Styela clava: one gene and its partners. The protein of the gene in region 1 binds, or shares a complex with, the protein of each later gene. Links are inferred from orthologs where the notes say so. Each region holds a gene or a part of one and is shown in the gene's direction. Other genes may lie near its edges.

Region 1 (10,537 bases):
CTTACACGTTTAAATAACTCGCTCAGATTTAAGTTTTAGTAGCTCTGTCATTGGCGGTTACAACTTTTCATGTCAGCAGACTTCATCAAAAAATCATATATAATATCGCCACAGGTATCGTAAGATTTTTATGTACTTCTCTATGACGAGCGCTCAAGCGTTGATTGGTCGCGCGACGTATTTGCCACGATTTGATAATTATGTTCCGATATTTGGGTACTCGACGCTTAACCTTCAGACCGCAAACAACTCAACCGTAATAAACAAGCTTCCTGCCTCGTTTTGAGTTAAGTTATTTTACTGTTTTATCGCATCTTCGTATTGATTTTGTCGTCATCGTTTTATTTGAAAAATATAATACACAACCAAGATTTTACACGTTTTAACTAGATACTTGTAAACGGATAGTTGAAGACGCGCAGTTACGGTATGCGCTGAGTCATAGGGAACAACCATTCAAAATCCTAACGAAACACTTCAGCAAGTGATAAATTTGTGGCAAAGAACATTTCGTTGCAGAATTCGCACTGAAAAAAATCATTAGACGCAACAATGACTATTATTGACTGCCACAGAACAGTTGGAAGGGGCTACGATACCGGTGTCAAAATTGATTTTTATGCAATTTTCTCTGCATACTTTATGCTTCCGGTCTAACTAGTTTCATTTCATTTCACATGGTGTTTTCACTTTCTCGTGCATGAATTGTTGGGTTATAATGGGACTTGGGATTTACAAATCAAAATAACATTATGAATGCCACTTTGCTCCGCAAATTGGCGCGGCGCGGTGGTGTGGCTCAGCGGGCTAAGCGTTAAGAATACGCTCGCCACCGCACATCTAATTACTCTGCGTGGGTTCGCAGGTTCGAATCCCATGTAAGGATGGTTATGTGCAAGAGGATTGCTGGACTCCTTCCTGTCGTTGGGTGGTTCACGTAACCGCTGGTCGGTTACGGCTTCCTCCACCACCAAGTCCATGCTTCCGAAAACAAACAATACAGTAAAATTAATCCCATACCCGACTTGGAATGGTAACCGGACGAGAGGCCGTGGTTCGCCATATGGATAAGCCGTCTTATCGGCTTTTCTCTCCCCCGAGATAAATATGTAAATCCTATCCTAATTCTAAGCTTTGTAGTAGGTCGGCAGGCCATTTGACCTAAAGATACCGGTCGAACCTTGTCTACATATAACGAAAGTTTCACATGACTGCAAGGTAGACGTAGAAAATATTTCTAAATTCCTAATATTCCCAAGAAACGAAAATAGAACGACAATTACTTTGCTTTTATCAAAGTAAATCGAGATGGCCTATCTAGAATGTGCGCAACCGCAGTAGTATATATTTACGGCGCAACGCATGCTCGTATTTTTGAGATGGTGAACAAGAGGTCACGAGTGCTAAAATCCTCTAGGGTAGGAACCACTGATATATAACAAAAAATTAGGTTACTTATTATAAGTTTCCGATTGCGCTAATTGAAATGTTCAATAATATGAGGTTCGGCAGAAGAATGCAGCAGTGAACACCCCCCCCCCCTATAGGGGGTGAACACACCCCCTAAAATTTCAGTTCTGAAGGAATACAACATTATGCGCCATTATGATCAGTTGACGCGCGTATTTCGAAATTTAATTCATCGCTTGATTCGTACAAAAGTCAAACGATCATGTTCAAAAAATGTGAAATGTGTAACAAAACAAGCCATAAGTAGCCATTCATACGATGCCATATGCTAGATGAGCAGGTAACTTCATTAGTCACTATAAGTCGTAAATTACTTGCTGAAAGCCGGGCTTGTTATTTATTCCTCGGGAATTCTATCAGCTAAATATTATAATTATTAATTTCATTACATAACAAACTGCGATGCTAGATGTATCTAAAATCAAGCTTAGAACCTATTTTGGTGCCTATTTCTCAAAATTTTCAGCCGTGAACCCCAGCCGTGTCGTCGCGCACTTTTCGCTCGCCTTTTCTGGCCCTACATTTTTATTCTGCTGTGTATTTTGGCTCGCCGTCAATCAACTTGGGAGCCCCCTCATGTACATTGTTTCTTAAATACATACCAATTTTTTGAAAGTACAAATAGTTTCATCGCAATAGCAAATTATTTTCCACCCCCTAAACTTCGAAACACCCCCCCCCCCCTAAAATGAAAAGCTGGGGAACATACTGGCTTGCAGAATAGCCCAGGTGTTCGGAAGGCTTGCAAATGTTTAGAACCACTGCATAGCACAACCCACACTCATAAAGTCACTACAAAACGAAATGACTTTTATGTATCCACTTGTGTATACTCACGAAACATAAGCTGTTAAAGTTTTACGTACTCAGCTTGATCTTTTACATCGATTTTTGTCTATTTTCTATATCCAGGGCTGTGGATTTTTTTACTATAATAAAAACATCACATTTATATAAACACAATATTACGTAAATATCATTGCACTTAAAAAACGAGCTTTTTGTAAATTTCCACCTCTTCATCATGCGGATTAACAGTTTACCATTTTTAGTTGCAATACTTTTTTCACAGTTAATAATATTTTTATCGTATATAAAATTTGACAAAATAAAAACCCTCCATGACGAAGTTAACATATGTATATATGGAATAATTGTTACATAATAAAACACAATATGTGGATTCGGGATCGGATATTTTTTGCCATTAATGGAGTTGAAACCGGAACAGAAATTTCACAACCCTCGGTGTCTCAGTTCAGATTTCCATAAACAGATACATGGCGGTCAGAATCAACATTTTCAACATAAACTGAAAAACACTAAATTGCTTTCACTACTGATCTGGACTGAGAGGCGTGGGTCAATTTTCGTGAATATTTTTTTTATATTTCATCACCAAATGCACACCGGTGCTGATCACAGAGGGATTCAGGACTCCGAGCAGCATGACTCCGTTTTTTTGACAAGCAGGAGTGCAAATCAAAATGACTATAGGCTAGTCACTTTGGTGCAGATAAATATATTTCAGTTTTTTGTGTGAATGACAGTTCATCGTGAGCGAAACTAAATCCTAAAATGTGATGTTGTAAATTTTATTGTTTTGTCTCAAGCTCAAATACACGTTACCACAACCTAATGTAGACGGTGACACTGTGTAGGTGAACGGCTGATTGATTGTCACGATTGTAGCTGTAGTAGGTACCTACCACCAGGCTACGGATTGTGTAGAACAGTGGTTCTCGAACTTTTTGAAAAATAATGCATAACGGTTCCCTTTCAATTTTTCTGATGACTCGTGGTCCACCAAAGAAATTATAACAACGCAGTATATCAAGCATTCATCTATTGAATGACATTAAGAGTGTTCAATGAGATGTGTGCGCCTGCTCAGCTCCCACTAGTTAGTCTACCTTGGGTTCTGTTTTGGATAATGCAACTCTCATATCTTGTTTTAATAGTGAGTAACATAGAAAAAGATGCCCGCACATTCGTAAGTTGTTGCAAATGGAATGAAGCAGTTTTAGTGACATCGGGATTGGACGGTCCAACTATGGTCTTTTTTTCCTCCAGAACTATCACAGCAAAACCAAATTTCACATATGAATTGTTATATCTAAATTTATTTTTTATGGCGGGCCGCGGGTCTTATTTTTAATCAGATGCGCGCGCCTTCCATAAACCACACACTCCGATTTACGGTACTTGCCACTTTCCCCAACATTTGTTACGTAACACAGTAATAATGTCTTTGTTAGAGCGTGTCATGCTTTGTAGAAACACTGTAAAAGCAAGACATCAAAACTTTACTTCAGATCAAAGTGCTTCTGTGCCGAGATTAACGCTGTCTCGCGGTCTCCCTAAAATCGCTTCACGGACCCCTAAGCGACCGCGGACCCCAGTTTGAAAACGAATGGTGTAAAAGGACTAGGGATAGCTGAATACATACTTCAGTATGGGGGCCCGCTGCTCAGTACAGTGCTCTGCACGGGAGGCGGACAGCTCAACTACAGGACTACGGTACTTTCTAGTGCAACGCTTCAAGAGGGCAGTAGGGTACCTGTATGTCGCAGTGGTGTAAATTTCGATTTTTAAAGGGCTCCAGTGGCATGGAAACACACAAATTTATGTGCACAAGTGACATACAGACAAATTTTGAAATCAATTTATAACAAAAATGTATCATCTAATTTCATATCATTTACGGTACTGTTTCTCTTATTTTTCAGGCTTGAATCGCGAAAATGACTAAACGTAGGCGCCATAAGATGGAAATAAAGGACAAAGTGTCCATGAAGGAAGCAGATAATGATAAAATTTTAAGTATTTTGGATAAATATGCTTCAGAATTTTTAGGTGAAACACAGCCTAAAGAAACACAACCCAATACCCCCATAATTCCATCCACGGTGATGACGAAAGAGGAAAATGATAATAAATTAAAAAAGGAAGTTGAAATTGTCATATTTAAAAGTAAAAAAACTAAAAATGAAGAACCGGAAATAAAAAAAGCATCACCAACTATTGTTGGTACAGACTCACAGTTCAATATTCCAAAGTCTAAATATACAAATGAAAGACTAAATTCTTCGGAAGTTTTAGAAAAATTAAAATTCAGCGTTGGCTCGTTTGGAATGAAGGCATTTTCGAAAGAAGAACAGAGAGAACATGAAAGAAAAAGAGCAATAAAACTTGGAGCAAAACCGACAAAACGGAAATATGTTAATTATAAAATTCTCATGGAAGAACAAAAAAGATTGAAACAAGATACAAGTTCTGGCAATAATATATTGTCGAACAATAGAACCGAATATAAAGAAAAGACGAGTGGCATGCCGAAATTCTGGAAACAAGGCGATAAAAGTTTGAATCCGCAAATTGGAAAATATAAGGATGGAGTTTTAAAACTTTCATCAAAAGATATTAAATCTGTAAACAGGCGCCGATAATAAATTCTGCTTATTTTGATATTTCCCATTGACTTGATGCATTACATTTTAAACCAATTCTCAGATATAGATCATGAAAGTCATTTCCAATAGAGCACAGTCTCCTGATGCCAAGATCTGTCTATATTTGGTTCAATAAAACTAACACTCTATTTGTCTCTGTAACGAGGGTGTCTGGTACGGCGGTAATTTGCGCCATGCTTGTCTCGATAATAATTTTACGTGTGTCTGCCATCATGTGACCAAAATATTTCTGTCAACATTTTTTTGCTAAAAACTCTTGAATCCTACAGTAAAATTTTTTTTTTTTGGTAAATTGTATTATTTTTGGGAATCCAATGGTCAATGGTGACATTTTCAGATTGTGTATCCTTCAGTTTATTTGCACAGTGCCAGTTTGGCGATATGGAGGCCCAGACTGTCTCATAAAGGAGCGGTTTGCATTCACTGGTATAATTGATGTCTTCTAATGTTGGGGTTATTCTTGAAATTGGAGAACTGTACCATACTGCATTTCTATTGATACTTTTGCAAGTTTGAGGAATGTGTAGTTGATCAGTGAACTAACATATAATTATACTCTTTTACAAGTGTAGTATACAAAAATGAATCAACGTGGAACGATTAATGTTATTCCAATGATTTTCATTTGTATTGGTTTCATACAAAAACACTGTATATTATCATGTTTAACTTTGGACCAAATGAGTTGAACTAGCATCTATTTGTTGTAATGTCAATAAATTCTCAGATTTTCAAGTATAAAAAAAGGAAATAAATTAATGCATGGAACGAGACGGCAAGTTTTGTGAATGGTTATTTCACAATTTTAAAGTATATCAATAATATTGAAATTGAATATTCATTCATTTTGATGGAAACTTCGCCCAACAAAATGATATCATCGATTTGAGACCTGTTGCCGAATATAACAATTTCATGCGAATGTTAAAAACTTTGTTGGGCATATTAAAAAAAAATGCATTGTAATACTGTTGAATTTGGTACGTCATTGATGTATGTATTACATTTTTGATTTACTATCCATATGTGGCCTAGCCTTAATTGAATAAACGAACTGTTACTTTAATATTTACAGGTTAATTCTTAATTATAATAAATACGATGGGATCATCTAAAAAGCATAAGAAAGACCATAAACATCGAAAGCACAAGCGTTCAAGTCCTGCATATGATGATGAAGAGAGAGATGAAAGTCATAGTCCAGAAGAAAAAAAAAGAAGACGTCATGACGATGTAGAAACAGAAAAATCATATTCTAAACAAAAAAAACATAAGAAAAAACACAAGAAACAAAGTGAACGAGATCGAGATTCTGAATCCCCCCAAAAGTTGGAATCTGAACGTAATGGTAAGTCAAGACAACATCATGCTGAACCCACTCCAACATCAGCTAATGGCGAAGGTGACTCACTCAGTATTGAAGAAACAAATAAGTTGAGGTTAAAACTGGGACTCAAACCTCTCGACGTCGGTGGATCTTCCGGTAATGCAACCGAATCAAAGAAAGAAGAATTTGTTCATGCTCCTGCTGAAGATTTGTGGGAAAAGAAAAAACAGGATGATATTAGAGAAAAACTACGAGCCATTAAAGAAAAAAGAAACTTAAACAAAAAAATGGGGAAAATCAAGACTTTGGGAGAAGAAAATGAAGATGAAAATGATGCGGTATCTTGGGTAGAAAGAAGTAGAAAAATGGAAAAACAAAAAAAGGTGGCTGAAAAACGAGAACAAGAAATGGCTAAAATGGATGCAGAATTTGGTATTGGTGGTTTAATAGACAATGAATTTGCCGATGTAAAGAAAGACTCATACACATCTCGTGATTTGCAAGGCATTACTGTAAAACACTCCTTAGAAATGTTCAAAGAAGGAAGATCAGAAATTTTGACTCTCGAAGATAAAAATATACTTGAAGAAGATAAGGATGATGTTCTTGTTGGTGTAAACTTGGTTGATACTGAAAAAGCAAAACGAAATTTGGACGTGAAGTCCAAAGGTTCTGGATACAAAGCTTATGATGAGGAAGAGGTTGATGAAATGGGATTTTTTAAACAAAAGTCTATGCTTTCGAAATATGATGAAGAAATTGAAGGAATCAAGCAAGAGAAATTTACTATCGGTAATTATGGAAAAGTTGATACGACTTGGGAACAACAAAAAATGATGATGAAAAATGAAATTAAAGCTAAAGGAGTCAGCTTAGCACTCCCTCAACTCAAAATTGCATCTGAATATTTGACTGAAGAGGAAATGACAAAGTTCAAAAAACGAAAAAAGAAAGTGCGAAAAGTAAGAAAACGTGATCTAAAACCAGACGATCTACAACCTCTACCGGGTAGTTCAACATCATCTGATTTTGGTTCTAGAAGTCGAAATCAACGAGGAAATATACCTGGATGGGATGAAGGTATTGAATCTGCAAAAGTGGATGACACAAGTATAACATCTACAACTTTAATGAATTCGAAGAAAAATGTCATTTTTGACGAGGATGATGCCAGTAATGAACTTCAAAAAGCATTGGACAAAGCAAGACGGGCAAAACAGGTTAAATCAAACATGGTTACTGAGGATGTCGGTGCCAGTAAAGTCGTCGAACATTTAGACCTTTTAAATAAAGTTTCATTTGAAAATCCAATGGCCAATTATTCTACAACTATATCTTTAAATTCAACTGATGAATTTTGTCGTCAGCTCGGAACCGCCTCAGATTTGAATGTTATTAAAGAAGTGCCTATGGAAGAGACTTCCATGGACGACAGCGTTGATATGGACGTGGAAGATGAAGAAGAAGAAGAAGTTACGTCAGGATGGAATTTTGTGAACGATAAAGCCAAAGTTAAGCCAGTTACACAGGCAGAACCTGTCGATGATAGACATGCACCTATTGAAGCCGAGCCTCTTGCTGTAGGCGGCTTAGCCGGTGCACTAAAACTAGCCACGAGAAAGGGTTACCTGATGGAAGAAAAACCAAAAAGCTCAGTCACAATAACTAGTAAAAATATTGACCTGCTTTCTGCAAACTATTCCATTGAAGACAAAAACGCAGTTGATCATTTGGATAAATACGCTCACGAAAAATACTCGAAAGACCGTAGTAATCGCTACGATCGTGGAATTGTAATGGATTTTGAAGAAAAGAAAAATTATAAACCTAAAGTAACTATCGAGTATGTTGATGAAGGAGGTCGATTAATGAATCCAAAAGAAGCTTTCAGAAAATTATCTCACAGGTTTCACGGCAAAGGATCGGGTAAAATGAAACTCGAAAAACGACAAAAAAAGAAAGGAGAAGAAGATATGATGTTGAAAATGAGTTCGACTGATACACCACTTAACACAGTAGCAATGATGAAAGAAAAATTACAAAGCGAAGCAAGTCCTTATATTGTTCTAAGTGGAGCTGGTAAAACATTGCAAGCTGGTGGTGGAGGGCTGAAGAAATGATTAGTATTATAATTGTGAGACATATGAAAAATGAAATCAATTTTCATCGATGCAAATCAATATTTTTGTGTTGTTGTCGGGACATTCTGTTGAGCCGTAAATCATTGCAGCTTCCAATACCTATTACAAAACACTTGCAGGGGTACCATAAACTTTGTCATTCTGATTATCTTATGCCTTCTTTGTAGCAGTTGATTGGCAGATCATATTATGAAAATCTTTTGATGTTATTTTGGGCCATATCATTTTAAATGCCTAAATTATTGTTAACATGCCCACAACAACTCTTGTTTTGATAACATTAGAAATGTACTCCCTGCTAGAAACTGCCCTGACTTGACTTGATTTATATGTTAAAAATGAAAATTACCATGTGATCCGCTGCTTATGTTGGGTGTTTTGCATTAGGATATTCTTTTGTCAGTGGTTGTTATCGGACATAATATGATAATATTTTAATTATTTTTAAACCTGCTATTCTGTTCTAAATTTCTCGCCTCAATCAACAAGATTGAATTTTGTATGGGTTATAAAGATTATTATTTGGTGATGGTGAATAGACACTGATAAGTTATTTTAGAAATGTTGTATAGATATTTGTTGTAAATTTTTCAAATTTCATAGGAAAGTAATACCAGAAGTACTAACTGTACAGGTATCTCAATCTAGTTTGATAGCACATAAGAAGACTCATTACCAGGGCTGGGAGTTATTATGAAAACACTTTTACCTTTGAAAATTGGGTGAAATATCACTTATTATATTATGTTATGATTATAAAACTGTTTGCCATAAATATTAGTTTGGAATGTTGAAAATTGTATATGGATCAGAAATGTCCATCTATTAACTAGACGATCTGCTTGGTCACTCATATACATTAATTATTTGGAATTTTAATACTGATACATGCGAATTAATTTTACTTCCTTTGGATGTCTGTTGATGTTTAAAATTACTTGTAACCATTAACCATCTAATAGTAGTTAACGGGTCACTATTCCCAGCTCTACTTATTACACCATGACGCAGTAAAACCAAGTTAGTTTATGTCACATTTTGAGAAAATCACAATTTTGTTATTCTCAGTTCTGTAATTAATGTGGTAAAATAGGAATCTGATATTCTTTACAAAACATCATATTACATATGGCACCTAAGACTGTGTGTTTGGGGACGCCTAAAACACACCACTATATGTATATATTCTACCCCCCATTTTGGACAAAGTTTTAAAATCTTTTAGGGTTCAAAACAACACTGGAATTAGGACATATTGGCATTATTTCTACCCTCGAAAGTCGGATAGTATCACAATATTCCACTCATCAAATGCCGAGCTATTGAATCCAAAAAACAACAGGTGCTTGTTATAAAAAATCAAAAAAGCCCATCTCTAAAAAAATTTGACTTAGGCTATCTTGTTTTTACTGTGGCTATATATACCGTACATGATTGTCGTATGTCTATCAGCCTGTAACAGAAATTAGTTCTTGATCAATTACTTTTGCTTAAAAACTGTACATAAGCTGGTTTGTTTTAAGTACATATTTGAATCCTAGACCAAAAGATGACCCTGATCCACAGTGAAAAGAAAATCCTAAAAGTCCATTAGTACTTTGGTTTTACTGCGGCGGTTTTTGCTTGTAAAATTACTGCCTATTTTCATTGATATCTGAAGCAGTAACTTATCTGGTTCTGATCTTAGATTTATTATGAATAGCTTCAGGAAAACAAGGAAAATTGAGTGTGATGTGGTGTATTACAATTGACTTTGCCATAACATCTTGGTATGATAACATGCATTATACATGTATTTTACTTTGTGATATAAGTTTTCGCAATCTAGTTGTCCTTTTTTTAGATCCTACGTTTGTACCTTTATTACGCTCGATCTTTTTTTATTATTTATTATTTGATAGTTAAAATAAAATGTTGCTCCATAGCTGAAATGATCTGATTGTAGCACGATGGACAAGCTTGAAACTAGTAATGGGAATATTCTGGAAGATTTAGAAGAGGTGAGTTTGATGAAGTCCTTTTATATTTAACAGATATTCTCTGTATATAGTGTTTACTTTTACAGTTATTTGCTAGTAATAGTTACATGATTTTCAATAGGGTTATATGAATTGTCATTTTGATTA
Region 2 (10,845 bases), on another chromosome or scaffold:
GAGCGATTTTCAAATATATATATGGACACGAAAGTCAAAACGCTGTAGTACAGGGGTATGTTAGTCGTTGAGTACAGGTATTGCAATTTTTCACAGTAGACTATCGTTGCCGCAGTATTCACGACTTCGTATATATATGTATATCATTGTCTATATCCAATGGCTATATATGAATAATAATAATAAAAACTATCATTCACCCTTGATAAGCAATATATTTCCCATGGAAAATAACTGCTATTTCAGTATCATACTGCCTTAATACTGACATCTGATAATTGAAATAATCTGGACTTTAGTTTGTCTGAATGTGTAACAGGTGAAATAAGTAGATATATCCCAGCTTTTTATGCATTCTATTAATGATAATTCAGACTTCTCAATTTAGAAATTAATCTCCAGCAATAAACCGTTTGGCATTATAATTATTAATCTGGTATTAAGTTTGGAAAAAATGTTACTATGGGAGGGCAAATAATGTTTGTTACAATTCGTTTTCCGTTTACTAAGTAATTCGTCTAATTATGACAGTGTGTGAAAATGAAAAGTATATTTTACTTGCGTGAATGCATCTGAAGACTTCTTTTTGCAACATCTTTTATTTAAATTATGTTGAAGCGAACTAACTTCTTTCTAACAAGAAAAAGACTTTGAACTATGTTGATGTTTAATCCATAACAAAGCAATGTTAACGACAAGCGAACAGAAAACAGAATGACAAGTTATCGTAAGAAAAGCACGTAAGTAATCATGCGTGACAAAAACATAAACAAAACAATTGTGACTCATAACGGCTATTATTAGTTAAGTGGTTCGCCACACTACCCCCCCAGACGGAATGAGTTATAAAAATCTAGTGGGTTTACGAGTTTTTCTACCAAATTTGGTTCTGTAATCATAACCGGTTGTAGGTTGATCGTCTGTAGAACGCTGATTGTTCGTTGTTGTTTTAGGGATTGGAGGACGTCCTCTTGGTTTAGGAATGGATACAGAAACAGGATGGTCGAGATCAAGATGAGCTGGCTTTAACCTGTCAACAGAAATAGTTTCGCTTCGGTTTCCAATCTGTACTTTGAAAGTTTTATTCCCATGTTGCAAAACTTCGAATGGTCCTTCATAAGGTCTTTGTAAAGGAGATCGGTGTGCGTCACGACGAATAAACACGAACTTGGCTTGATTGAGTGCGGCTGGCATTCTTGCTCTGAAAGGACCATGGTGCGACGTAGGAATTGGAGCCAATGATCCTACTCTTTCTCTGAGAAGCCGAAGATTTGTGGTCGGGCAGCTATTGTCTTTAGAGTCTGATATGAAATCACCGGGGACAGTGAGGGGAGCGCCATAAACAAGCTCAGCTGACGATGCCGTAAGATCTTCTTTCGGAGCTGTGCGGATTCCCAATAAAACCCATGGAAGCACGTCCAACCAGTTTGAATCATTGAGTCGTGCCTTAATGGCAGATTTCATTGTTCGATGAAAACGTTCTACCAAACCATTTGCCTGTGGGTGGTAGGCTGTAGTGTGATGAATTTTTGTTCCCAATAATTCGGCAACAGCAGACCAAAGGCCTGAAATGAACTGTGATCCTCGGTCAGAAGAAATGTGAAGTGGAACACCAAAACGGGCAACCCAATTTGACAGGAAAGCTCGGGCACAAGACATAGTTGATATGTCTTTGAGGGGAATGGCTTCTGGCCACCTTGTGAAACGATCTACTATTGTAAGAAGGTAATTGTATCCTTGTGATGGTGGTAAAGGACCAACTAAGTCAATGTTGATATGGTCAAAACGTTTGTCTGGCATTTTGAAATCTTCTAAAGGGGCCCGTATATGACGATTTATTTTAGACTTTTGGCATTCCAGGCATGTTTTGGCCCATTGTCCAATTTGTTTGGAGAGACCATGCCACACAAATTTTTGTGAGATCAGTTTGCGAGTGGTACGTATGCCTGGATGCGAGAGCCCGTGAACCGCATCAAAAATTTTTCTGCGCCAGCTGGCAGGCACTATAGGTCGTGGTCTACCCGTAGATACGTCACACAGCAATGTAAATTTGCCGTTGCAAAAAGGGATATCTTCGACCCGAAGACCGGTGATAGCAGTGCGGTAAGCCTGTGTATCCTTGTCGTTTAGTTGATCTGTGGCCATAATTTCATAATCGATGCCGTCATTGATGTCGTTGATGACCGCGCGCGACAGGGCGTCGGCGACAGTATTATCCTTACCGGAAATATGTTTTATATCTGTTGTGTATTCAGATATGAAATTGAGGTGACGCTGTTGTCGCGCTGACCATGGCTCAGAGACTTTTGCCATAGCAAAAGTGAGGGGTTTGTGATCTGTAAAAACCGTGAAGGGTCGTGCTTCGAGAAAATAACGAAAATGTCGTATTCCTAAGTAAACGGCCAAAAGTTCCTTGTCGAATGCACTGTATTTCGTCTCGGGTTTGCGTAGCTGTCTACTATAAAATGCAATTGGCTTCCAAGATCCATTTAACTTTTGCTCGAGAACACCTCCTAAGGCAACGTCCGAAGCGTCGACTGTGAGGGCAGTTGGTGCGTTTGGTTGTGGATGTGTAAGCATAACTGCATTTGCCAGTACTTTCTTAGTTTTTTCAAATGCACATATCATACTGTCAGTCCATTCGGGCAAAACCTTCGACTTCTTGGGCAGGCCGGAAAGTGCTGCGAATAGTGGTTGCATTATTTGGGCAGCTTTGGGCAAAAACCGATGATAGAAATTAACCATGCCAAGAAACTCTTGAAGGCCTTTTACAGATGAAGGGCGAGGGAAATTAGTTATCGCCTTCACTTTATTGGGGAGAGGAAAAGCACCCTCCTTTGTAACAGTATGTCCCAGGAACTCTAATTCGCTTAAACCGAATTTACATTTGGCAGGATTGATAACCATACCGTGACTTTTTAGCCTTTGGAAAAGATTTCGCAAGTCCTTTTTGTGTTGATCTTTAGACGTACTGGCGATAAGGATGTCGTCAAGATAGACAAATACGAAAGGCAAACCTCGACAGATGGTATCCATTAAACGCTGGAATACCTGGGCGGCGTTTTTAAGCCCAAACGGCATGCGGAGGAATTCAAATAGGCCAAACGGTGTGATAATGGCAGTTTTGGGGATATCTTGTTCATGAATAGGTATTTGATGATAACCGCGAACAAGATCCACTTTAGAGAAAATTGTCCTTCCCGCAAGACGGGCCGTAAAATCTTGTATGTTTGGGACTGGGTAGCGGTCAGGCACGGTCATATCATTGAGACGTCTGTAGTCTCCACATGGGCGCCACCCGCCGTCCTGTTTAGGTACGATGTGAAGCGCAGACGCCCAGGGGCTATTTGAGGGTCGGATGATTCCGAGTTCAATCATGTTATCAAACTCTGCCTTTGCCGCGGCTAGCTTATCGGGGTGCAATCTTCGAGCCTTTGCGTGCACCGGGGGGCCTTCTGTAACAATATGATGCTTTACCCCGTGTGCAGTGGTCGGGTTGCTGAATGTGGGGCGCGTTAAATCAGGAAATTCGTTCAGAATTTTGGCAAAATCGTTTTCGGCTACGTAGTGAAGGCAAGGCGGGGTGCCAGTAATGGTTCTGGTTGGAATACAAGCGTATGTGCTTGCCTCGATAAGTCGTTTGCCCCTGATGTCAACCAAAAGTCCGTGAGAGCGCAAAAAATCTCCCCCGATAATTGCCCGTGAAACATTGGCTAATGTGAATTTCCAGGTAAAATTTCTACCGCATATAGTCAAAGGCACTTTTCGTGTGCCATATGTCGTAATTGAGGTGCCATTAGCTGCCAAAAGTGCTTGTCCTGGTCGCCCGTAACGACGGTCATGACCGGTGGCAGGCAGCACGCTGACTTGTGCACCCGTATCAACTAAAAAACTGCGTCCAGAGTTTTTGTCTGTGACGTAATAAAGGTTTGAATCGCCGACCGCCAAAGAGGTTACTGACGGTCGGCTATGGCGTTTTCCGAAACCACAAAAGAACATGGCGGGCGACATTTTTTGGCTTTCTTGCCGAATTTCCTGTGATAAAAACACATTTCAGACAAAACATGAGATGGTTGTTTTTTGCATGAACTGGTTTTTTGTACAGCGTTTGTCACCTCATAGCCTTTTGCAGTTAAAATATCATCTGCTTTCCTTGCCAGCTTCCGAAAATCGTCGCCCGTGGTTGTTAAAATGTCTGTAAGTTGAGACCGGACGTCTGGTGGCAGATGACTGACGAACAAATGGCGAAATAAGAAATCAGGTGTCTTACCTACTGGATACAATGCAAGCATGTTGTCCATAAGTTCCGTTGCCGTTCCATCCCCTAGTCCAGGCATTGAACAAAGGCGCGCAGCTCGTTCAGGATCCGTTAGCGAACATTTAGTAGTGAGCTTCTCTTTGAGATCTTGGTACTTGTTCGTTTCCGGCGGGTTATTGAGAACATTAAGAATGCTGGCAGCGGTATTGTCATCCAGAGCGGCAACCACGTAGTGGTATTTTGTTTCATCTGTTGTGATATTTCGAACAGCGAACTGCGCTTCGACTTGGTGGAACCAAACGGCAGGATTTTTAGTCCAGAAAATCGGCAGCTTTAATGATACCGCTGTTAGGCCTACTTTGTTGTCTTCACTCATATTCTTCGTTATGTGCGTATTCTTTTCTCAAAAGTATGCTTTTGAGGTCGGGGTCACCATTTGAAGCGAACTAACTTCTTTCTAACAAGAAAAAGACTTTGAACTATGTTGATGTTTAATCCATAACAAAGCAATGTTAACGACAAGCGAACAGAAAACAGAATGACAAGTTATCGTAAGAAAAGCACGTAAGTAATCATGCGTGACAAAAACATAAACAAAACAATTGTGACTCATAACGGCTATTATTAGTTAAGTGGTTCGCCACAATGTCCGTTTTAAACGTCGGGTGGTAAAATAAGAGAAAAAAATTTCATAGTCAAGCGTCGGTGAATGCAATGCAAATGGCGTCGAAGAGTCGATGCAGTTCGCATGCATGGCATATTTTCATGTATGCATACTTGTTAGGAAGCTATTCAAAATTAATTTGAATATCGAAAAAATTGACATCATACATAAATGAGGCTTGTTTGTAGCTTTGATTGTAAATTCGATTTGCAAATCAGCTCCCGACTCCAAGCGAGACTGATTTGAGACACATTACTTTGATTCTCAAATTTGAGTTGTAAATTTAAAAGTTAACTAAATGCCTTTTAGTTAAATTCCCATTTCTGTATTATGAACTACGACTCCGACGACTGGAAGTCAGAAGTTTACACACCTCGCTGGTTAAAATATGACTCCAGCTCCGGCAGCTCACTCATTGAGTCTGATATATTTTGGGTTCGTTGTTAGCTTCACAGACAGACCAGCAGACAGAGGTTGATTATTGTCGTTTTGCTTGTCCAGGCTTCGGAAAATACTTTCTACATTGCTGTGCCTTGTTGTTAGAGATAAGAATGACGACTTCGCAGCTGTTGCCACTTGGTGAGTACCGTTACCTATTCAAGTATTCCTTGGAACTTTAAGTTAGACGGCATTTGTGAGAGTCTGAGAGTGGTGTGCGATCAAGATGAAAGACGGCTTAATGACGTGGTGGTTAATGCCCTCTCTCCCGGTTAAGTTGCCTCTTCATGTGAATTATGCAAAAGATAGACAGTTATTCGTTTTAATGGGGTCTTACTACTTACTGAATACAGCGCGAAACACCGCAAAGAGCGCAAAACGGCGCGAAACAGCGCAAAACATAGAAAAACAGCGCGAAACAGAAGGAAACCAGCGCAAAACGGAGGGAAACAGCGCAAAACAGAAGACGCAGTCATTACCACCTCCTGCCACAAAAGTACCACGGCGCCTCTCGTCATGGTTTTATGGCGCTAATTCCGGTATATTTACAAGGTTATGTACCGGATTATAGGTCATCATACGAAATTTTATCTACCTTTTTGGTGCTCCAGAAGTATGTGCAGCAATATGTCGCACAACCTGAATCCACTACACACACACACACATACTATTTTCAGGTTGTGCGCCATCTTGGTGCACATACTTCTGGAGGTCCCTTTTTACCTAACCCTAAAGCCAACCATATCCATATGGAAAATGTTCTAAATTATGGTACCCAAAATGTGTCACCAGCAGGGGCAGACCTGCCATTACAGCATTACTGGCTACATACGTTGGTTTGTGTTTTTAATTTGCTGGTGCCCAACAAGGTGCCCCAAACTCATTGCAAAATTTTTTTCTGCTTAACACTGTTTCACTCTGTTTTGCGCTCTTTCGCACTGTTTTGCGCTGTTTCCCCATTGTTTTGCGCTGTTTCCCTCTGTTTTGCGCGGTTTCGCGCTGTTTTGCGCTCTTTGCGGTGTTTCGCGCTGTATTCAGTAAGTAGTAAGACCGTTTTTAATGTTATGGAGCATGTAAAATTATTTTCTTGAATGTTTGGTTGATGAAACAATAAAGTGTAATTAGATGAACCACTCTAAACCAGTAAACAAATTCTTTCAATCTTTGAGCAAAGCAGTTCCAAAACTTTTTGTTTGGAAAAAATGCTGCTTTTAAACTCAATTTTGTGATTGGTTATGTTTGTAAACATGTACGCCTATGTAATAGACTGAATAGAAGTGAAAGATACGGTAACTCTTTTCCTCATCTCTACCTGATTTTGTTTTAAAATGCTGAAAAAATCACTCCTGTTTCTGTGTTCACTAAACTCTTTCAGCAGACAAATCAAATATTCAATCATATTTTAGTTATGTAGAGTCTATAACACAATTTTGTTAATTTTGTGGAGAACTCAGCAACTCACACATTTCGGTAAACTCTGCTTCAGCACATATTCATGCTCACAAGATTTTAAATCTGCAAACCCACGTACAGACGTAGGATAATCCAGTAATCAGAGTGATGATGGCAATAATTTTAACACTTCCAAAAAACAGCTTAACTTGTTTCAGAACTCGTGGACAAATGCATTGGGTCCAAGATTCACATCATCATGAAGAGTGAAAAAGAAATTGTTGGAACCTTACTTGGTTTCGACGACTTTGTCAGTATCCTTCACAATAATACATTACGCAATTCCATCTTCTTACACATGCCTTACATTGATTTCAATCTTGGTTTTGATTCAAGACCCAAACAATCTAATTACTGAATTATTTCACAACATGTGTGGTTATATGTAGGATTACACTATTACAGATTATGGGAGGTCAAACTAAAAAAAAAAGTATAAATCTTTCGCACAGGTTGACGCTTTTCAAATAGAATTTGATATTTTAACACAACTGGTATAGACTTAGAAATGGCTATTCAATCATGCTATATATCTTATGCACATGGATCAGTAGTATATATCTGAATACTGTATGTAATGCCCAAAATGTGCACTGCATCTACAAAAGAAAAGGCAAATACTTGTATATAGTAGGCCTATATTGTTTTTATAACGAAACTATGCTAAGCTCTATCTATCATTTCGCAGTCTGAATAAACCGTTTTTTCACTACATAAAATGAGGTCAAGTAAGTTTGTCATTAACTTTGGAGTCCCTAACCGCTGTTTTTGTAAATACAAGTTCATGCATCTGAAACGAACAACTGCAGAACTGATTAAATATTCCCATATCCGACATATACTGGTAAGCAGATAAGAGACTGTAATTTGCAATATATTTAAGCTATTATATCGGCATTCCTCTCCATCAGGATAAGTATGGTAATCCTATCCTGAATCAATGGAATCTCTTTTTGATTCAGATTTAATCTTCATACAGAAAGTTTTCGATGTTGCATGGTATGCGAATGTTATTTTCCATTTAGTTATCATAGTTTGGTAATAGTATTATATTTTCCCACATTATACAATTCGAAATTTTCCTATCATTAGTGTAAAACAGATATGGTTTTAGAAGATGTGACTGAATTTGAATCAACACCTGAAGGAAGAAGAATTACTAAACTTGATCAAATATTATTAAATGGAAATAATATAACAATGGTAAGAGTAGACATCTTGCTTTGGTTAACTTAATATGTAACAAATTTGATGTGATTCAATACAATAGTCTGTGTTGATGAATGGTTGCTGGATTTTGATAATGATGGTAATTAAAGTAAAATTTCCAACAGAAACCAAAAGGGCATTTTGTTTTCATATGCCTAAGTTTTTATGGTCTAAGCCAGGGGTGTGCAACCTTTAGTACATAAGGGCCAGATACAAATAACTTAGTGAAACCGCAGGCCGCACTGTTATTTTACATATGCTTTCTTGTAGTTGCAGGCACGAAAATTATGGGGTTTAATTGGTTATTAAACAATTATTGGCAATTAATTGGTTATTGATCTTGTGACATGCGTTGATCGCCTTGCCTGAGCTAACTGTTAGGGCAATTTGCCGCCATGGTTTTGCGTTTCTTTGTATATTAAACCACTTTCCTTTTCCGCAATGCCCAATCTAGCAATCAGTGTAGTTTTTCATGGCTTGGTCTTAAAAGCTTTCATGGCTTCATGAGTATGCAATCGTCGACTATCGTCGCAAATTTATTACATTCCACTCCCCACATTATCTTTGAATGAGATTGTATTGGTCATTATCAACGTAAGTGTTAAAAGTACAACAGCCCGAAAGTTCAATACTATCGTGTATTTTGTTTAAGTTTGGCCCAAGCCTCATTTAACTGGGCTTGTGTTTTTGTTTGCGTGCTGGTGGGCAGGCACATGAGATACTTCTCATGTTTTAAACTTTTTTATAGGTTTTGCTTGCCCTCCAGAATTCTCCATTTTTAATTTATGTTTGTTATGGAGTTTTCAAAATAAACTATCTATCTATCAATTAACGTCATATGCATAGTTAATGAATTGGACTCAGGAATAGGCTAAGCAACGCAAGGGGATTGGAATTACCCACACAACCCAAATTAAACTAATTTAAAAACATGTTTTGCGGGCACAATTTTTCCTTGTGGGCCGCATTCGGCCCGCAGGTTGCACACCCCTGGTCCAAGCCATCTAAACTGTAAATTTACTAAAACCTGGAATTGGATTCAAAATTCTCGAGTCAAAATTAATCTTTGGTAACTCAAGTTTGCAGTCTGGTACAAATATTACCAGACTCTGTAGTCATGGTGGTGGGATTTGTGGTCAACAAATTAGACGACACCCTGTTGCAGGGTTTTGCAAACTTTTTGGACCGGGAACCACTATTTGTGGATCTTAGTGATGATGCACCCCATCCTATGCTGTATCAGTTTCTGTGCAAAACCGACGATAAATGATAATGTTTCATTCACAACACAACAATACAAACAACATTAATGCGATGGATGTGTTTGCTTTTCACTACATAATTTATCGATTCTCGGAGACTTTGAGACTACAAATTTGTGACAAGCAAACTCGTAGAAGAGACTTTACGGGAACTCTCGGCTTTTGTGCATTCATCACAGACCCCAGTTTGGGAAACCCCGCCCTGTTGCATATGTGCATTAGCGGTGTAATATTTTATATGTAGTACCCACACGTTTCTCTGTTTCCAATTCTACCCTCTTTTGCTACATCATGTTTGTACGCTATAATAAGAAATTTGATATAATATCACCAAATGTAACTTGTATTTAAAATTCTCAGCTGGTTCCAGGAGGAGAAGGGCCTGAAGTGTGACGATAACTCTTTTAATTCTCTTGTTTCATTCAACTATTAGCTTAGAAAAAGCTATCATATGCTGACAAATGTCAATGGCTCAATCCAGTGCTGCCTACAAAAGCTTCCTTGTCAAGCATGGACTATTTCTAATTTATTTTATATATCTTACTCTCAAACTTTGGTTGTTTTAAGAACTTGGATTATGTTTGAAACTGTCTGGGATTGATACTATGTCATCAAATTTGTGTCAAAACGGGGATTTATTTTGAGGAAATGCTACTACTACTAATATTTAGGTGTCTTGGGATGTGGATATGATAGGATTTACAGATTTATCCAGGGAGAGGAAAGTCAATAATACGGCTTGATCGTTAAGCCGTAACCGACCAGCGGTTGCATGAACCTCCCTATCGCGGCAGGGAGCTTCATAGGCGTGAACTGGGTGGCGCAGTGAATCACCCTACGGCGGCAAGGAGTCTAGAAACCTTCTCGCACATAATTATCGCCAATCGATTCGATCCTGTGAATTCAGACAGGGTAATCAGAGGTGCGGCGACCTGCGCATTCCTCGTGCGTAGCACGATGCTACATCGTCGTGAAAGTATTGTTCGTAAGAGGGAGAGTCGCATGGAATATATGTTGAAGTGTGGTACTTTTAGTCTCACTTCATTAAATACCTCTTGTTCCGGCGTAGTTTCCCCATGGCGATAGCTGGTATACTTTCAGAATATGGTAGTGCTTTTTATACGCTGACGACAATAGCGTTATTAACAATACTATATTTAGATTGTCGGAAATGGCGACAGTAAATTCACTGTTTGATGCGTACAATAGCTTATTTATCAAAAACACAAGTAAAAACCATGTACGACGATTAAATTTTGCACATCTCAAATATATACATCACAAGTCAAGCTTTCTGAATATTGCAGTAATTGGTTTGTAAGAGTAACTGGAATATAATCCGAATAAAATGAAAACGACATTTTCATAAGGAAAGATTTGGCGATGCATTTCTACTTGGACATTCGATTTCTTAACATCGAAACAAATGGAAGATTTTTTGTTCCAATGGAACGTTCAGCGGTGTTAAAGTAGTAGCACTAATGCTGGAACCAACAAAATCATTAAAGTAATTGAAATATACATCTCGTAAAACATTCCTTGTACTTTTGGGTCGCTTTTAA
Region 3 (11,326 bases), on another chromosome or scaffold:
ATATTCGGGCACTTTACCACACATTTTAAGTCCGTGTAGTGTATTTTTGAGTAATATTATTTTGTGAATACGAATCAGAAATTAATTATATTCGGGCACCTTGCCACACATTTTAGGTCCACAAATTCCAGTAGATTTCAGAGTAATAATACTTTTATTATTCAGTAAATCCAAAAATAGGAATCAAAAATGAATAATATCGGGCAGTTCACTACACATTTTATGCTCACAAATTGTCGTCGCAACCATAAGTTACGTTAAACAAAACTAAATTAATAACGCATAATAATTTTATATGCTGGTATCGGTCATGGATATGAATAATTTGCACAACAGAAAATCATCCCAGTAAAAAGTCGAAACTTTCAAATAACATTATCAAAATTATTTGCCATGAAGCGGGAAAAAGTATTGATTATTTTCTCCAATAAATCGACTTGTTTTCCGACTTGCGACAATTTATTGGGTATCATAACAATTACGACATTGAATAATCTTCAATTTCTTGACGTAATGGAAATGAATGTGTAAAATCGTTTGAAGATTCCCGCAAAAACGAAAAACCGTGTTTACGATGAAAAGAGACTATATATTATTCAAAAATCAGCCGAAAATGTATTCGAATATTTGATTCGTTTTGGACAACCCTGTCTACGAACCACAGTCTTCTTTTCTACAATACAACAATAATTTTCGACCCAATTCTTTAATAAGGTTCGCCATTCCTGCTAGACTAACCCATCAAATTGCGTGTTCCCTGACTACTACATGAAACATTAGCGTTTTCTGACCATCAAATGTTTGAGATTGTTTTGTAAAGTTCAAAAACAATTAGGTTGAAAATTTTCAGTTGCAGATTAGTAGTAATTTGACTCCAGTGTAAATGTCGAATATTCAGGGAAGTATTTCACTGGCTTTATTTCGCTAAATGTCCGTACAATTATAGAGACCCTGCTCAGCGCAGAATGTTTTCAAAACATTTCGCCTATAAGTTTTTTAAAGTATAATTTCATTTGATTTCAATTGAAAATCTAGAAAGGCTTTTTGTATCTTATACTCACCAGAACAAATATTACAATCATTAGATATGAATATTGAACGTATTACTAGCTCAAAATTAATCCCTCATCAAACGCATTTGAACGCGAAATAACGGTGCACGAAACTACGCCAGTTATAAGCACCATTAAATATTAAACAATGCGGATATATATAGCACCAAGGTCTAACCCACCCTATTCCAAACAGCACGAAAAATTCGTCGCAAATGCGTCTTTCCTTGGAATTCAATTGCAACAGAGAACAAGACTTGCGTTACACGTAACACATTAATTTATAAGTTGCTCCTTCGCTATCCAGTAAGACATGGGTTGGATTCTGTACCAAGTAATGGTAATTATGTTCCTCAAGAAGTAAAGCATGCAAGAAGATTCCTAAAAAGTCAAACTATTCTTCGACATTTTCTTTCTGAAAAACGATAAAATGGATGAATTTGGTGGTTTTCAACATTTTGTGTTGAAATCTTCTATTAGTTGGTTTTGAACTGTTTATACCAAAATCCCTATGTTTAATTACCTTGCCTTTTGTAGATTCTTTGCCAGTGTTATACAAAAGTCGCATTTTCATTTTTACGCAGTTCAAATAGTTTGTCGCGTTTTCATGAATAATATTATACAAAAGTGAGTAATACTACAACGTATATTTCTATTCAAAGACTCTCCTCTAGATAGGAATTCACCCAATATCATAAAAATCATTTTATAGCATAATATATCGAACACATCTTTACATCAAAAGGTTATATTCAAATTATAAAACCAATTAACTTCGAAAGAAATTTTGAGAATTGAAATTAACGAAACACGGAGAATGGACTCTTCATGCAGTGTGATCGTGAATTATGCCAAAATATTTTAAAGCAAAACAGGATTCTTCTACATATATACTTGAGCAATTTAAAATATTTGTAATTGAAAAGAATTGTTTAATAACAGTATTTGGAATAGAAATATCGCAGGCTTCGGGGTGGCGTAAAAAATTGTAGGGACAATAATACCAGGGAAAAATTGATATACCATGACGAAAGAGATAAAACATATGACCTCATAAATGATGGCACGATCCACAATGCTATGCCAGCCAATGCAGACCTCTTGAAATATGCGCAACAAGCTGGCGCACAACCTGAACTCAGGTTGTGTACCAGGTTAGGGTTCAGGTTGTGCGACATCTTGGTGCGCATACTTCAGGAGTACCCAAAACTTGATGAGAGAAACGTAATAATATATCAAACATTAAAAGATTGTATTAAAATTATTAATCAGAAAAATATAAAAAAAATGTTCAAGACTTGATGAGAAAAATGTAATAATATATAAAACATTAAAATTAATCATAAAATAAAGACACGATGTAAAATCGGACAATACCTTTTAAATGAATTTTAAAATGTGAAACACTGATCAGATTAGTTCCTTAAATTTGACAATGTTCGTTTCCAAATCTGACACGCATTTCGCCATCCTTAACATGACACCCGTCAACCCACTGCCCTATTTCGCCCTCCTTAATCTGACACGCATCGACCATATTTCATCATCTCTAACCTGACAGGAATCGACCCTATTTCGCCACCCCCAATTTGACACGCTTCGTCCGCATTTCGCCATCCCTAATCTGCCACGCTTCGACCGTATTTTGCCATCCCTAACCTGCCACGCTTCGACCGTATTTCGGCATCCCTAATCTGCCACCACGCTTCGACCGCATTTTGCCATCCCTAATCTGCCACGCTTCGACCGTATTTCGCCATCCCTAATCTGCCACCACGCTTCGACCGCATTTTGCCAGCCCTAATCTGCCACCACGCTTCGACCGCATTTTGCCATCCCTAATCTGCCACCATTCGACCGTATTTCGCCATCCCTAATCTGCCACGCTTCGACCGCATTTTGCCATCCCCAATTTGGCTTTTCGTCCCTATTTCGCCATCCCTAATCTGCCACCTTTCGACCGTATTTCGCCATCCCTATTTTGCCATCCCCAATATGACTTTTATGCTACCAGCCCTCCTCTACAAATCAAGCCCTGATGTCTGTGGTTTTGTTACCGGTACCAGTAAATATTCTGATGTTTATTCAATTAGGCTATACCATGATATATTCTGGGCCACAGGCTGATATTCCCCATGTAGTACAAATACAATTCATTGGCATTAACCCAAAAGGGCCAAACCTTGAAAAACTGTTTTCAGAAAGTTGGGAAAAAATTTTCGATTTCGAAACTCCTGTACTCTAACTTTTTATTGAAATAATCTGCAAAATATTGCTGCAAACTGATTAAACACCGGTACCGGTACCTAGTCTACTGAGAAAGCACTGTTATTTTTTATATTTTCATTTTGTAACAAAAAGCCAAATTTTGATGTCAAAATTTTCAATTTTGGAGTTGTATGGTAAACCACAGCCTCTCGTCCGGTTACCATTCCATGTCGGGTGTGGAATTCTAGAATTAGCCTAGTTATTTCAGTATTTGTTTTCGGAAGCATGGACTTGATGGTGGAGGAAGTTCTGAAGTTGTAACCGACCAGCGGTTACATGAACCACCCTACGGCGGCTAAGAGTCCAGTAGTCTAATCCTCTCGCACATTACCATTTGAACCTGCGAACACACACAGAGTAATCAGAGGTGCGGTGGCGAGCATATTCCAAATGCTTAGCACGATGAGCAACGCCCCCACGCCATATTCAATAGTTCAACATTTCCACCACCTCAATTATCCCAATAATTATTATGTCTCATTATTTAAACCTTGTTTGAAGATTTGGTAACTTTCCTGATATTCCGCACTGTGTTTGGCTTGTGTATTGTAATTATTTGCACCATGACGAAGTTCGTAATAATTTATCTTCTCTATCTCTTCGCTGCCTTAGGGTGGTTCACGTAACCGCTGGTCGGTTATGGCTTTCTCCACCATCAGGTCCATGCTTCCGAAAACAAATAACTGGCTAACTATATCTTTTTATCGCAGTCTTGTAGTCTACCTTTCAATGCCGAAAAAGAAACCATTTAGTGGAAAACAAAAAAAGAAACAACTTCAGGAAAAAAAACATAGAGGTGAAGGGTCATTGACCCGATCAGAAAACAAAGAAGCATGGAAATTACAAGATCAAATTGAGAAGTACGATTCCGACTGTTCTTCTGGAGATGGGAATCCCCATGCATTTGAAACTGGACGGAATATTCACGGTAAAGCGACGAAAAGTACGAATCCGAGAGACAGGTATCGACTGAATTTTCTTCGAGAATCGAGGGATGAAGTCGACAAGCGTAAATTGCAATCACAGACGGAATTGCTCATTCCGATTCCACCGGAAAAAATGGAAATGAGTATAGAAGAGGTTTATCAACCTGGTTCGGAATTGGACATGCCTCAGCGGCCACATTGGGATTATCGTGATTCAAAACAATTATTAGAGCAACGTGAGGAAAAATATTTTTCAACATATCTTGACAATCTGTACTCCAAGTTTGAAGACAAAAATCTCAGTTATTTTGAACACAATTTGGAAACGTGGCGGCAACTTTGGCGTGTGATTGAGATGAGCGATGTCATAGCAATGGTCGCTGATGTAAGGCATCCAGTGCTCCATTTTTCTCCCGCATTGTACAACTTCGCCATTCATGTTGTCAAAAAACCTTTAATACTGGTTTTAAATAAAATCGATCTGGTTCCAGCTCCTGTTGTGATTGCCTGGAAAAAATACTTTGAAAAGAAATTTCCTGAGCTGCATGTTATAACTTTTACTTCGTTCCCAAAAAATTTACGAGGAGACGCTGCGGAAAAGCGAATTAGTAAAAAACGACCTGTTGGAAAACGTGTTTATACCACGCAAATAGGTCCGCAAGATCTGCTACAAGTTTGCAAAAAAATTTGCGGAGACAAAGTTAATCTTGAGAGCTGGGAACAGAAAATATTGAATGACCTTGAAGGTCTAAATTGTGACCTTGAACCAGAGATGAATATTGAAGAAGAACATCAAACCTCTGAACAAGGTCCAGAAAGTAAAGAGTTGTTTAAAAATGGCAGACTTACTCTTGGGTTTGTGGGTCATCCTAATGTCGGAAAATCATCGCTTATGAACGGCCTTATTGGAAAGAAAGTTGTGAGTACTTCAGTAACGCCAGGACACACAAAATATTTCCAAACGTACTTTTTAACTCGTGACGTAATGCTATGTGATTGCCCTGGTCTTGTATTTCCATCACTTGTGCAAAAACAAATGCAAATTTTGAGTGGAATTTACCCAATTGCGCAAGTACAAGAACCTTATACTCCTGTGGGGTATTTAGCATCAAGAATTCCGATTGTAAAGCTATTAGGCATCACCCACCCTAATGGTGAATCAGAGTGGACAGCTTGGGATATTTGTGAAGGATGGGCGGAAAAACGAAGGTTTTATACAGCGAAAGGACGGCGTACAGATGTGTATCGTGCAGCGAATAATATTTTAAGAATGGCTGTTGATGGAAGGTTATGTTTGTTCATGTTGCCCCCAGGATATGTCAAGGAAGAAAAATCTTGGATGGCTAATTCTGAAACGTTGAAACTTTTGAGTCTGGTCTCAGATCCTGGCAGTGTTGGCGATATATTAAGTTTTCATCAAATGTTTTCTCACCCAGAAATAGCCAGTTCTGAGCACGATACTCAAGATTCAAGCAGTGGCGAGGAGTCCGAATCTTCTCATGAACATGGGGACGGTGGTAAAGGGTTCTCTGTGCAAAATAAGTTTGCTTTACTAGGAGAGGACTGATGTTTAAATATTTCCACTATAAAAGACTAAAAATAGCATTTTTATGTTATAAGTGTGTGCATATGGAATTGGGCGATGACTTGTCAAATTTTATGTGACTTTTATGGTGTACGGTGATTAAATTACTCATTTTTTTTTGTCATTTTGATTATTTAAAATGATAGCCAGATATCACCAAGATTTGGTTTCAGTATCAGTACTTAATTTCATAAGTTCATTGTATAATTTATTCATGCTATATATGAGATTATTTGCATGCTATTGTGACTGTTTTATTGGAGTTGTCCTGCCTATTGTAATCCCTTTTGCCTTAAATTGGTGTTTAACCTCGCATCAAGTTGTTGAATGGATAATACTGTATATCTATCTTATCATATTCTAGTAATTCCAATTCCTTTGCGATGGAAGTCTATACCTGATTCCAATTTATTATCTGTGCCTATGACATTGTAATGCCCTAACAGGTAGTTTGTGCGAAGCGAACAACGTATTTCATAGGATTAAAAACCGAACTTTTTGTGCCTACAACTACTAGAAAGCCTATGTTAAATAAAGGTGCGGTCCACGGTTTCACCCAGTTATTTGTATCTGGCTCTTCTGTGTTATTAAAGGTTGCACAATCCCCGTCCTAGATTTATACTTTTTTCTGTGGATGTCAAAAGTATTTGGTAATTCAACATATAAAATTGATACTCATCATTGGTAATCATCAATATTCGATCATTTTTATCATCGGTATGTTTTATTAATTTCAGTTAATATTACTATTTATATATTTGTATTGGCGGATTGTATCCCAAAATGAGTGTGAGGACTCCAGGCAATCCCATTGTGTTTTTTGATATTTCTATTAGTGGCCAGGTGAGTGAAAATACAAATAGACTCTACCTCTTTTATAAAAAATCTAGTTTTGCTTTTAACAGTCCCAGCTTGATAAACCCTGGTCTAGTAATATTACCAGTTTTATATAGTGTGTGTTTAGCATGTTTTTGTCCATAGAAAAGGCCATTGTCTGGTGCAGGGGTTCTTAAACTTTTATAACTCGCGCCCCCTTTCTAGAATTTGTCAAGTATCGTGCCCACCTCAAAAATACCTAGCTAACAATAACAGGCGAGATCAAATCTAACAACTATTTTTATTATAATTAGCTTTACGCCTCCTCAAAAAATTGTCCACGTCCCCTTGTGGGGTGCGCCCCACTGGTCTAGTGCCATTTTCAGAGCTTTCAAGAAAAGTATGTAGTCCTATTATATATTGTTTTTAAGACTATTCTATCATCTTTTCCAGGATGTAGGTCGAATGAAAATGGAGTTATTCAAAGATGTCGTGCCAAATACTGCGGAAAATTTTAGACAATTTTGTACAGGAGAATACAAGTAAGTCCAAGTAATAAAAGAAAGCAAGGTTATTCAACACAAATCAAATTTTGATTCGATTTGAAATCAATTACAATACTCAAGAATGTGGACAGTGATGGACACAAAGGTCCAATGACTCCCACTGAAATCATTATCTAATTCAGGGTGGTCCAAACCCAGGCCCGCAGGCCACATGTAGTCCGCCGCTTCATTATCTGTGGCCCGTGTCACATTCGGAGAGTAATCAAAAAATCGCATTTTGTGTTGTTTCGTCATAAAATTAATCAGAAAAATCTTTTGACATATTGTCATCACTGATGTCACTGAATTAAATAGTGTTATGGCTAGCAGGGGAAACTAGCGAAGTTGAGTGACGTGCTTGGCAGTCTAAATTGTTATCTGGCTTTCTAACTTTTTGGTCGGGAATATATGCTAACAATATATGCATCATAGAAAACTAAAAATCAACTGCAGATTCTATTAGCTAAGAATGGCTATGCCTGATAACTATGTGTTTGCACAATAAAAGTGTTTATTTTGTATTGCACTGTTTACCTATTTTTGGCACTATTGTGGCCCGCGAACAATGCAAAAATAATATTGTGGCCCGCGGAGCCAACAACCTTGGACCACCCTGATATAATTATTCAAAAGCTTCAAATCAAAGTTGCAAATCGAATACGACCTAACAGTTTGCATTAGTAAACCGGTACCTTTAGTGCACCAGTAAAGCCTTAGCTTAGCAGTGAGCACCGACTACGACAGAAAAGAAACTGACTGGGCTGATGTAATGCCATTTCGTGCCGCAATATTAGTAAAAATAGAACCCTAATTTTCAATAAGATGCATTTGTGGAAAGGGTTTTGTTGCATTTCTATTTGAAGTTGTAATTTTCGAGATACAGTTTTTACTCTATTATTTATTATCTTTTCATAATTTATGTAAATCACATTACTTCTAATTCTATTTAGAGTAGATGGGATTCCTATCGGTTACAAAGGAGCAACTTTTCATCGAATTATTAAAGATTTCATGGTTCAGGGAGGTGATTTTGTAAAGGTGGGAATGCATTTTAGTTAGTTTTTTGGATAAATTTATGTGGCCGAATTTATGTTTAATGTAGTCACTTAAAACCCAATTATTGTGAGTAACATGGTCGTGGAGAACGACCAGAAGTCAATGATTATGCTCATTTACTAAGAGGTAAACGAGACTAATGTCTTATCAAAGTTATGGATATCACTACTGTCTACCACAGGGGTGGCCAACCTTTCACATACCATGCGCCACGTTTTAAACATAATGTTTCAGATGCGCCGTAAATCTCTTGTATTCCCACGCCTAATGTCCGCTTCTTGCAACAGGCCTTTAGTATCAATATCTACTCTACTCTACCCTCGATTCTAATTGGCCTCTGCTAATCAGCTGTTTGGCCTAGCGTTGCGTGATTTTACTCCAGGCTTCTTCGAGATTAGTACTTACGTCACAGCAAGCGATTTTACGCTTCGCTTTTGTTGACAACGGTCTTTTGAAGTTTGTATGAAAAAGGTGGTATTTAGGGGGCATTTTCAGCATTGTTGTGGGTTGATTTATAATAAATTTTTTAGGCTTGGGCAATTCAACTGGTTGTTCAATGGTTATTGGGAGATATTTGGGAAGTCTGGGCAAAGGAAAATCCATGTTTCAAGCTGATAAATGACGATTTTCTATTTTTCCAGAAGTTCTGAACTTTTTACTTCAGTAGGGAAAAAATAGTAAATTTTACTAATTTTTGCTAAAAGTCTAGAATGAATGTCATAAAGTCCGTCCAAAAGCTAACGTCGATAATCGCCTGTTGTTTCTAATTCCAACAAGCCTTAAGTGGGCGACGTGGAGTAAGGAGAATAGATTTTAGGTACAATCAAAAGTCACCATGTAAATCGCAAAAAAACGACTTGGCGTCGAGAAGCCAAGTGCAATTAACAATTTTGGCATGAAAAGGGTTAAAGATGCAATGCGCCACCTCTAATCATGCAATGCGCCATGTTTGCCGCATGCGCCATAGGTTGGGCACCCCTGTTCTACCACCTGCTGAAATTGTATATTTCCTCAATATTTTTTCCTGTTATTTGATATTTCAGATATTTGGTCCTCAAAAATGTTCAGAAAATATTTTTCTTTTGAGTTGATGAGCATATCTTTGCATTGAGTAAATTCTACAGGACAAAGACCATCCTCACATCCAAGATTGCAGGCTTTGGTCCTCACATCAACTTTGTTTTCCTCCTTGATAACCATTAATGTCCAATCCATATTTCCAGGGAGATGGGACAGGCCTCACAAGCATATATAATGGCATCAAATTTGCAGATGAAAATTTTAAAGAAAAGCATACAGGACCAGGATTGCTATCAATGGTGAGTTTCAATATCATCCACATAATAAAAAGAAAGGATTTTCGTGGTGTATGATTACTCATGCGATTTGCTTAACATGTTTTGTGCTTTGTCGGGTGGTGGTTTGAGTTAGTCAATAGCGGAAGTCGCTAAACGAGTATACGTGTATATTTCTTGCAAACAGGGGTTCAAGAACACATTAGTTTTCACATAACACCACTTTCAAAAGAGTGATTTCCCTAAACTAGGGGTCGACAACCTACGAGTAACATAATCCGGCCCGCGGCGCTTCACTGAATTATAGTAACAAAACAGCTATTTTGACGATTATATTTTTTACGTTACACAATTCATTGTGAGACGTGTATAGACTAAATTATATTACAATCAAACAATTGTAAAATTCACAACTACCTGTTTAATGAGCCTATAATTCAATTATAATCAGACAAATGGCAACAAAACGCAGAAAAGTTGATGCTAAGTGCAAAGGGTTCAATTGCGCCAAAAATGCAATGCAATGAGGAAATAAATCTATCTTCTATTCAAGAGATGTATCACTGCTTCATTTTTATTATAAAAAGTATCATCCGTTCGGTTTTCAACTTTCTAAAAATATGTGCTTTATGCTGGTTCTAAACTTTATGCTGGTTCTAAGCGAAATCTTATTTATGCACTTTCATTTGCTTGATCAGGCCAACAGCGGACCTAATACAAATGGATGTCAGTTCTTTATTACTTGTGCGAACTGTGAGTTCCTTGACAAAAAGCATGTAGTATTTGGTGAGTATAGGAAGTTTTTTTTAAATAATCATTGTTGTTTTTTATGATCATAGCAGCGTTTCCCATTCGGGGTGAGATTTCTTCCCATCAAAGTGTTCAAACGTTTTAGTGAAGGAGACTTTACTTTGTTTTGGCGTGCCTTCACTAAACACTATCTACCTATTTTGATATTATTGTATTATAGTTGGTGATAGTTGTTTACTATTCGAAAGCCAGAGTATGAGTTGCAAGTATTACTAGATAATGTATCAATTACAAAGGCAAACTTAGATATTATGCATAGTGATATAACAAAACACCGGTATAACATTTTTTATGAATTTGTTCCGTCATGTTTGGCTGCTAGCCTTTTCAGCACATTCCCAAGTCCCTTCCGCTTCGGGGTGTGGGCTTCGTGTCCATATATTTGGGTATATTCTCTTTTTAATCTACGCTCGAGGAGTAAACTACATTTTTTTACGTAACAGAATTTATCGTGAGACACGTTTAGACTAAATTTTAATATATCCTAAAAATTCTATTGACCAGCAAATCGTTTAACGAGGATACAATTTAATAATAATTAGACAAATAGAAACACGAAGAAAACTTGATGCTGAGGGCAGGGGTTCAATAGTGCAGTAAATAGTCGAATATGTTGGTTGCAATGCAATAAGAAAATAAAATTCATTCTATTCGAGAGATTCATCACTGCTTAATTTTTGTAAGAATGTATCTTCTTAAAGAAAATCTTTATCAAAATTTCACAAACCATGCAAAAATATTCACTTCGATGTTTGGAAGTACATATTTGTGCGAACAATTATTTTCGAAAATGAACAGTACAAAGAACAAGCAAAGAACTGGAATTAGTGATGCCCATTTAGAAAAAGTTCCTTGGCGTCGTAAAGCTATCAACCGCGATGCAGCAACAAGACAGTGTCACATTAAAAATCATTGTAATAATTTTTTATTAAGACGACTGAGTTGAGTTCACGAATTGTCGCCGTTTTTAACT

Evidence for each region.
Region 2: U4/U6.U5 tri-snRNP-associated protein 1-like (region 1) and U6 snRNA-associated Sm-like protein LSm5 share a complex: the UniProt entries of both Homo sapiens proteins name them as parts of the U4/U6-U5 tri-snRNP complex. The link is inferred for Styela clava from reciprocal best matches to the Homo sapiens genes SART1 and LSM5.
Region 3: U4/U6.U5 tri-snRNP-associated protein 1-like (region 1) and peptidyl-prolyl cis-trans isomerase H-like share a complex: the UniProt entries of both Homo sapiens proteins name them as parts of the U4/U6-U5 tri-snRNP complex. The link is inferred for Styela clava from reciprocal best matches to the Homo sapiens genes SART1 and PPIH.

The regions. Positions count from the first base shown.
Region 1 is NC_135255.1:12,624,485-12,635,021, reverse strand, and holds U4/U6.U5 tri-snRNP-associated protein 1-like, read left to right. Parts: upstream 1-6,034; 5' UTR 6,035-6,044; coding exon 6,045-8,390; 3' UTR 8,391-10,255; downstream 10,256-10,537. Other genes in the region: 40S small subunit processome assembly factor 1-like, read left to right, coding at 4,215-4,919; vacuolar protein sorting-associated protein 8 homolog, read left to right, coding at 10,361-10,411. UniProt on the Homo sapiens protein: Plays a role in mRNA splicing as a component of the U4/U6-U5 tri-snRNP, one of the building blocks of the spliceosome. May also bind to DNA.
Region 2 is NC_135261.1:7,858,170-7,869,014, forward strand, and holds U6 snRNA-associated Sm-like protein LSm5, read left to right. Parts: upstream 1-5,328; 5' UTR 5,329-5,473; coding exon 5,474-5,501; intron 5,502-6,970; coding exon 6,971-7,066; intron 7,067-7,914; coding exon 7,915-8,015; intron 8,016-9,643; coding exon 9,644-9,676; 3' UTR 9,677-9,915; downstream 9,916-10,845. Other genes in the region: uncharacterized protein LOC120329407, read right to left, coding at 10,748-10,845. UniProt on the Homo sapiens protein: Plays a role in pre-mRNA splicing as component of the U4/U6-U5 tri-snRNP complex that is involved in spliceosome assembly, and as component of the precatalytic spliceosome (spliceosome B complex).
Region 3 is NC_135258.1:4,505,883-4,517,208, forward strand, and holds the start of peptidyl-prolyl cis-trans isomerase H-like, read left to right. Parts: upstream 1-6,488; 5' UTR 6,489-6,614; coding exon 6,615-6,674; intron 6,675-7,100; coding exon 7,101-7,189; intron 7,190-8,142; coding exon 8,143-8,230; intron 8,231-9,471; coding exon 9,472-9,567; intron 9,568-10,241; coding exon 10,242-10,329; intron 10,330-11,326. Other genes in the region: guanine nucleotide-binding protein-like 1, read left to right, coding at 3,984-5,813. UniProt on the Homo sapiens protein: PPIase that catalyzes the cis-trans isomerization of proline imidic peptide bonds in oligopeptides and may therefore assist protein folding. Participates in pre-mRNA splicing.